Linked DNA regions of Stegostoma tigrinum. The protein of the gene in region 2 purifies or fractionates together with the protein of the main gene of each other region. This does not show direct contact. Links are inferred from orthologs where the notes say so. Each region holds a gene or a part of one and is shown on either strand. Other genes may lie near its edges.

What was found.
Region 1: the proteins of E3 ubiquitin-protein ligase RNF123 (region 2) and ubac1 purify together in Homo sapiens (affinity purification with mass spectrometry; 7 studies listed by BioGRID and IntAct, counting the BioPlex papers as one, with this or other methods). This does not show direct contact. The link is inferred for Stegostoma tigrinum from reciprocal best matches to the Homo sapiens genes RNF123 and UBAC1.

What each region holds. Positions count from the first base shown.
Region 1 is NC_081382.1:38,038,630-38,042,542, forward strand, and holds the start of ubac1 (ubiquitin-associated domain-containing protein 1), read right to left. Parts: upstream 2,841-3,913; 5' UTR 2,723-2,840; coding exon 2,585-2,722; intron 1-2,584.
Region 2 is NC_081364.1:65,894,443-65,898,355, forward strand, and holds the start of E3 ubiquitin-protein ligase RNF123, read right to left. Parts: upstream 3,099-3,913; 5' UTR 2,983-3,098; intron 1,648-2,982; 5' UTR 1,616-1,647; coding exon 1,534-1,615; intron 1-1,533. UniProt on the Homo sapiens protein: Catalytic subunit of the KPC complex that acts as E3 ubiquitin-protein ligase. Promotes the ubiquitination and proteasome-mediated degradation of CDKN1B which is the cyclin-dependent kinase inhibitor at the G0-G1 transition of the cell cycle.

The DNA.
Region 1 (3,913 bases), on a different chromosome or scaffold from region 2:
AGTACCAAGACAGCTTAGGCTGTTAGGCTAATGAAAAGAATTCACATCAGCAGATGAGGAAAAGAGTCACTGAATTGTTTCCCAGTCAGCCAAGTAGAGCCCTAGAGAGTTGTGAAATGAAATGTAAATTTTCTAGGCTTCAGTCACTGAAATAGGCAGGCGTCAAGAAACAGTTTGAACCATTGTGTTAAGGGGTCATTCTAATTAATCATTCAATAATCTAGTTAGATTATTCTAAACATTCTTCTACATTGAAACGCAGCTTGTCAGTTATTTTGTTTCATTTGTGTAATAAGTGTTTATTGTTAAAGACACTCTGCAACCTCGTGAACAATGACTATCATAATGAGCTAAATAAATAAAAACCAAGTCAGATTTTACTATCAAGTCATTTCACTTCAATTGTAACCTTGAGTTTGCCTGGTAATCTTTTTCAGACTACATTGCTTATATTATATAATACTATACTATATTATAATGAATATAATAACAAATTATACATTATTATAATGAATTTACATTAGAATAACCAAATTCATAACCAAGGCAGTTCAAACAAATCAGAAACAAAATAGAAGTTGCTTGGAAAGCTCAGCAGGTCTGGCAGAATCTGTGAAGGGAAATCAAGAGTTAACATTTCAGGCTCGGTGACACTTAGAACAGATCAGAATTTAAAAATTTTTCTTGGGTAAACCTAGGATAATTTTAGTTTGCACTTCAGTTTAGGAAAAAAGTGAGCATCCATTTTTAAAGCATCTTTAATATCCTCAATAAAATCCCAAAGAACCGCGGATAATGGAAAACAGAAACAAAAACAAAAACTGCTGGAAAAGCACAGATCTGTGTTCTGAAGAAGGGTCACTGGACCCTAAGCATTAGCTCTGATTTCTCGCCACAGATGCTGCCAGGCCCATTGAGCTTTTCCTGCAATTCTGTTTAATGTCGTCAAGATGTCCCAAACCACTTCACAGACAGAGAATAATATCTGAAGTTGTAATCACTGTTGTCATTGCAAACAAGCTCAGAAGATAGTGTTCACTAAAAATTGGAAACAAAAGGAAAAAATAATGTAGGAAATAAACAGCAGGTCAGGCATAATGTGCATTGAGAACCAGATTTCAGGGCGTGACTTTCTATTGGATGTGGGGAAGCCCTACAGATCAGGCAAGTGCTACACTCTATCAAGACCAAACAGAAAACAAAACTACATCTGAAGCAGCTACACTGGGTACTCACATGAAAACTTAGCTACAAAGACTCATGAATCATCTCTCCATGCTTGCAGCTTGTTCTCCCAAACTATAAATATCAAGAAAACGATCATCATGGAACAGGGGGGGGGGGGGGGGGGGAGAGGGGGGGGGGGGGGGAGGGGGGAGGGGGGGGGAGAGGGGGGGGCGGGGGGGGGGGAGAGGGGGGTGGGGGGCGGGGGGGAGAGGGGGGGCGTTTGGGGGCGGCGAGGGGGGGGCGGCGAGGGGGGGGCGGCGAGGGGGGGCGGCGAGGGGGGCGGCAGAGGGGGGGGCGGCAGAGGGGGGGGGAAGAGGGGGGGGGGAAGAGGGGGGGGGAAGAGGGGGGGGGAAGAGGGGGGGGGAAGAGGGGGGGGAGAAGAGGGGGGGGAGAAGAGGGGGGGAGAAGAGGGGGGGGAGAAGAGGGGGGGGGAGAAGAGGGGGGGAGAAGAGGGGGGGAGAAGAGGGGGGAGAAGAGGGGGGGGGAGGGGGGGGGGGGAGGGGGGGCGTGGGGGGGGGAGGGGGGCGTGGGGGGGGAGGGGGGCGTGGGGGGGGGGAGGGGGGGCGTTTGGGGGCGAGGGGGGGGCGAGGGGGGGGGGGCGAGGGGGGGGGGCGAGGGGGGGGGGGCGAGGGGGGGGGGCGAGGGGGGGGGGGCGAGGGGGGGGGGGGGCGAGGGGGGGGGGCGAGGGGGGGGGGCGAGGGGGGGGGGCGAGGGGGGGGGGGGCGAGGGGGGGGGGGGGGGCGAGGGGGGGGGGAAGAGGGGGGGGGGAAGAGGGGGGGGGGAAGAGGGGGGGGGAAGAGGGGGGGGGAAGAGGGGGGGGGAAGAGGGGGGGGGAAGAGGGGGGGGGGAAGAGGGGGCGAGGGGGGGGGGAAAGAGGGGGCGTGGGGGGGGAGAGGGGGGGGGGGGGGGCGTGGGGGGGGGAGAGGGGGGGGGGTGGGGGGGGGGGGGGGGGGGGAGGGGGGCGTGGAGGGGGGGAGGGGGAGGGGGGGGTGGGGGGGGGGAGGGGGGGGCGGGGGTGGGGGGGGGGGGGGTGGGGGGGGGGAGGGGGGGCGTGGGGGGGGGAGGGGGGGCGTGGGGGGGGGAGGGGGGGCGTGGGGGGGGGGGGGGGGGGCGTGGGGGGGGGGGGGGGGGTGGGGGGGGGGGAGGAGGGGGGGGGGAGGGGGGGGGAGGGGGGGGGTGGGGGGGGGGGGGGGGGGCGTGGGGTGAACAGAAGTGAAGACTTGAGGGAGAGAGAAAGAAGAAGTGAAAGACTGAGGAAAGGGGGAGGGGAATGAAAATCATGCAGGTGGGGGGTTTGCGAAGAGACAGGGATCCCCGGGGCTCCCAGCCGTCCCCGGGCCCCGGGGCCTGCCCTTACATGCTTCAAGCAGCGCTCCTTGAGGCTCTCGACACTGGTCTCCTCGGTCACCTCCTCCAGCCACTCGGTGCCCTCCATGGTGCAGATGTGGAGCCTCAGCACCTTACCGGCGAAGATCTTCTCCTCCTGCACAAACATGGCCTCCTCTCAACTCCAAGTCACGGCCTACTCCTGTCGCCGGTGATCATTGCAGTCGGTATGTCCGCCGACCCCGGCCTCCCGCTGCCGCCTCCACCTTCACAAACCAGTGCGACCTCTCACCTCCCACCCCCTCCCTGCGGGGTCAACCGACAGCGCGTGCGCGCACTTTGCAATGCATCCTGGATGTTGTAGTTCTCTACCCCCCCCCATCACTTGCTGAAGAGCAAGGAAGACTTAGCGTTCAGGTACACCCATACAGGACCTACCACAAATGCTTTACAGCCGATTAAATACAGCTTTTTAAAGCACAGTCCCTGGTGTCACAGAGGAAACGCAGCAATCAAATTGCACATAATGAGCTCCCACAAAGTAAATTCATCATAATCTTACTGGATCACATGGGCTACTCTCTTACTGGATAGAGATAACTGGTGATGGGTTAACATACTTTTCAGACACAGAGAGAGTTTGAGAAGGAGAGTTGTTTGCATTAACCTCAGTCAATGCAGGACTTGAACCTCCCACACTCTTGATATTGTTAACTAGCCATCCAGTCAACTGAGCTAATCAAATCCACTCCCACAATGTAACCTTCAAACAGGATCACAAGAAAATCTGGTTATTATGGTGCATGCTTTCTTGTGATATTATTTGAAGGTTACATGTTCACCAGGACACCAGGGATAATAACACTTTGAAATTGTGCCTTTGGGATCTTTCAGGCAAGTGGGCAAATCAAGATTTGGTTTTAACCTCTCACCCAACAAATAGCAGCTCCAACTTTATAATATTCCTACAGTTCTACGCTGGAACATCAGTCTATATTTTTGTGCAGGACTCCTAGAGTGGGACTTGGATCTCCCACCTCGTGCCTCAGAGACGCGAACTGTGGCTGACCCAGCTGTTCCAAAAACAGATAATAATATGCGTGAATGAATTGCCCAAATCCCATGAACAAAGTGTTTAATAAAATGTGTGAACATCAGCAGATTTAGCATCATCTGTGAAGAAAAAATTAGAGTTAACGTTTCAGGTCTGGTGACCCTTTCTCAGAAGGATTTTTTCTTCACAGTTGCTGCCAGACCTGCTGAGCATTTCCAGCAACTTTTGTTTATGTTCCTAATTTAAAGCATCCGCAGCTCTTTCAGTTTTTATATGAGTGAACATTATTGGCAAGGCCAACATCTA
Region 2 (3,913 bases):
ACCTCCCAGTCGCAAACCATTTCCACTCCCCCTCCCATTCTCTAGATGACATGTCCATCATGGGCCTCCTGCACTGCCACAATGATGCCACCAAAAGGTTGCAGGAACAGCAACTCATATTCCGCCTGGGAACCCTGCAGCCATATGGTATCAATGTGGACTTCACCAGTTTCAAAATCTCCCCTTCCCCTACTGCATCCCGAAACCAGCCCAGTTCATCCCCTCCCCCCACTGCACCACACAACCAGCCCAGCTCTTCCCCCCCACCCACTGCATCCCAAAACCAGTCCAATCTGTCTCTGCCTCCCTAACCGGTTCTTCCTCTCACCCATCCCTTCCTCCCACACCAAGCCGCACCCCCAGCTACCTACTAACCTCATCCCACCTCCTTGACCTGTCCGTCTTCCCTGGACTGACCTATCCCCTCCCTACCTCCCCACCTATACTCTCTCCATCTATCTTCTTTACTCTCCATCTTCGGTCCGCCTCCCCCTCTCTCCCTATTTATTCCAGCTCCCTCTCCCCATCCCCCTCTCTGATGAAGGGTCTAGGCCCGAAACGTCGGCTTTTGTGCTCCTGAGATGCTGCTTGGCCTGCTGTGTTCATCCAGCCTCACATTTTATTATCTTAGAATACTGCTGCTCAACAGGTTCAGGAACTGCTGGACCAACAAGGTAGATGCCCAGCTCCAAGCAATGATGAAGATTACTTCTCTGGCATCGAGAGAGCTTCTGTTACTTCCTATGCTGGCACACATTGAAATCCACAATGTCTATAACAAAAATATCCTTTGTGAAGGAGAACATCACCAAATAATAAAGCACTCTACTTGACACAGTCGCACAAGTAAAATCTTCACACTTGTCTGAAATCAAGCAGTCTTGACTGGAATACCATCATACCCTGTAAAGTGGTTACAGACCTACCTCTGGTCGGCAAACCACTTGGTTAATTTCAAAGATTTCCAACTGCAACCTGGTGATGGATCCCACCTAGTGAAGTCCCAGGTTTCAACCTCTGGTCATCTAAGTCAGACCATCGCTCACAGACCGCACACCTAACATGGGAGAGCCACTCCTGATGGCATCACAACTATTCACACTGCATCAGCTGAAGCCGTTAAAAATAACATCAGAGTATACTTGCATTTCCTAGCCTTGCACAACCTTTGCACGTAGGGTGAGAGCGTTACTGTTGAGTCGGGGCTGCCACCAATTAGATTTCGGAGTGCTGAAATCCAAACATAGTTGCCAGCAACATGGGATTTCAATGGGCTTACAATTGTGGGGAATGCCACCAAGTCATCGATTAGTGAAACAGGAGACAAAAACACATTTCCCATCCAAGCAGTTTCACAGGTCACAATTCCATCCAGATACATTCAGTTGTTCAATTTGCCAATCTTTCACGTTATTTTTAAGTACTTCCCAAACAAAGTATACTTCTCTCACAAACTAAGTAGATATAGGATGTTCACACACACATCACAATTAGGATCACTCAGGCTGTCCCAACCCTTGATACCAAACATACCTGTGACCTTTGGTTTTTCTGTATCAGAGGTCAACCGATAACTTCTCCTGGAGTAGGATGTGCTGGTGCCTTTAGACGTCATTTTCCAAATTAGTGTCTCTCCAATTTGTAAAACTATGTAAAAACAAATTTAGTGGAGGAAACAGCTTCAGTATTTTCACTCCATGTTCTGAGATGGCTGCCGTTATCTATTATTCAGCGTGAGCTTAGCATGTGCCCAAGGAAGATGGTAATGTTAGTAGCAGATATAAGAAAGTTATTTCAAAGACCAACATTTGCTTGACTACTTGCACTGAAAGGCAGTGAGCTACCCAAAGGATAACTGGCCAGATAAGAACTGAAAACATAAGGCAGCAAGTGAAATCAAAGTAAACTTAAGAGCAAACTTTGAGAATTAGCCTACTGGGGAATTAGCATGAGACGAATCGTAGGAAATAGATCGCTGATTGCCTCAGTTCAATATGAAAGACACTCCAACATCAGCTGGAATTCTCTATCCGAAAGAGCTGTGGAGGATTGATTGTTAAGTACATTGAAGATGCCTACATTTTTAAAAATTCAAGGGACACAGGGACAGTAGAGAAGAATGATATTGAAAGATGTCAGCCAAGTCTGGAGGGTGTCGGTGAGATCTGGAGATCAAGTGTGAGTCACAGGGGTCAGTGTGGAAATTAGGGGGTTAGCATGGTTGGAAGGGTGGTAAATGTGGGGACTGGAAAAGTCAGCATGCATCTGGAGGGCCACTGAGTAGTGAGGTCCATGTGATTAGTTGGGGGAGGTGATGTGAGTGATCCAGGAGCCTAGGTGAGAGGGGAGTGTTGGGTGTGGGCTCAGAGTGATGCAGGAGCCTAAGTGATGGGGAGAAGAGGGTCATTGTGCTTTGGTGGGGGGCAGTGTCAGACTCGTGGAGGAGTCACAGAAAGGAGAGGGTCAGCAATTCGAGGAGATCAACTGATTGCAGAGCTTCCAGGAACGATGGTGAGGTGGGGCAGTGATTAGGGGCAAGTCAGTAATTGGGGGAGGGGGGAGTCACTGAATGGAGGGAAGTCAGTGATGGGGTCAAGAATGGAAGCAAGTCATGTGTTGGGAGAGGGGTCAGTTTTGGGGGCCAGGTCAGTGATGGGGGAGGGGTCAGTGAAAGCAGGGAAGAGTAAGTGACGGGGGTGTGGAGCGGGTGGGGTAGGAGGGTGAGTTAGTGGTTAGTGACGGTGGGGTGGGGGCAGTAAGTGACAGAGGTCGGGGTGTTGTCAGTGACGAGGGTGGGGGCGGGTCAGTGACGAGGGTGGGGGCGGGTCAGTGACGAGGGTGGGGTGGTGGGGAGGGGTCAGTGACGGGTGGGCGGGGTCAGTGACGAGGATCTCGGCCCCCCCCGACCTCTCATTCACTTTTAATCTCTCAGTTTCCCTGTCGACAGTGTTCCGGTTTCGGATGGGCCTCGGTTCCGCTGACCTGTGCTACCCAGCTTGCGCAGACCCCGGTTTCTCAGAGAAGACCCACTCTGTCCCGACTTCTCCTCACGGACCCGCTCCCGTCGCCGCCATCTTCAGTCCGGTCTAAAGCCCGCCGCACGCATGCGCTGCGCCCATAGGGCGGAGTCGGTCCCGACCCCGCCCCCAATGCCCCATCTCCAGCTTAAATACGCCTCCCCGATCATTTACCCCCAGCTTAAATACCCCGCCCCGATCAAATACCCCTCCGCTTGCTCAAAACCCTTGCCCCGCTTAAATACCCCTACCCTGATCATATATCCCCCGTTTAAATACCTCGCCCTGATCAAATACCCCACCCACCTGCTTAAATACCCCTCCCCTGCTCAAATACCCTTCTCCTGCTTAAATACACCCCCAATCAAGTGCCCTTTCCATCCACAATACACCTCCCCCTGTCTAAATTCCCATCCCCTGTTCAAATAGCCCTCTCCCTGCTCAAATACCGCTCCCATCCACAATAGCCTCCCCTGCCCAAATACCGAACCACAAATACTCATCCCCTCTATAATTCCCTTTCACAAACACTCCTATTTCAAATATTCCTCTCCCTCCCCAAATACCACTCTCCATCCACAAATACCAGACTCGCCATCCATAAATAGGCCATCCCCATCCATAAATGTCCGATCCCGAAATACCTCTCCCCATGCCTAAATATCCTTCCCAAATACCACCTCCCTAAAATTCTCTCTCCAACCCCAGACCTCCCTTTCCGAGTTCTCTTCTCCATTCCCAAATACCCCCACTCCACAAATGTCCCTCACCACCCCACCAAAGACACCTTCTCTTCCCTACCCAAATACATTGACTGTAGCAGTTGGAATATTAAATAGATTAAATTGGTAAATACATTAGGTCGTTTCCCCAGGGTAGTGGAGTACAAAACTAGA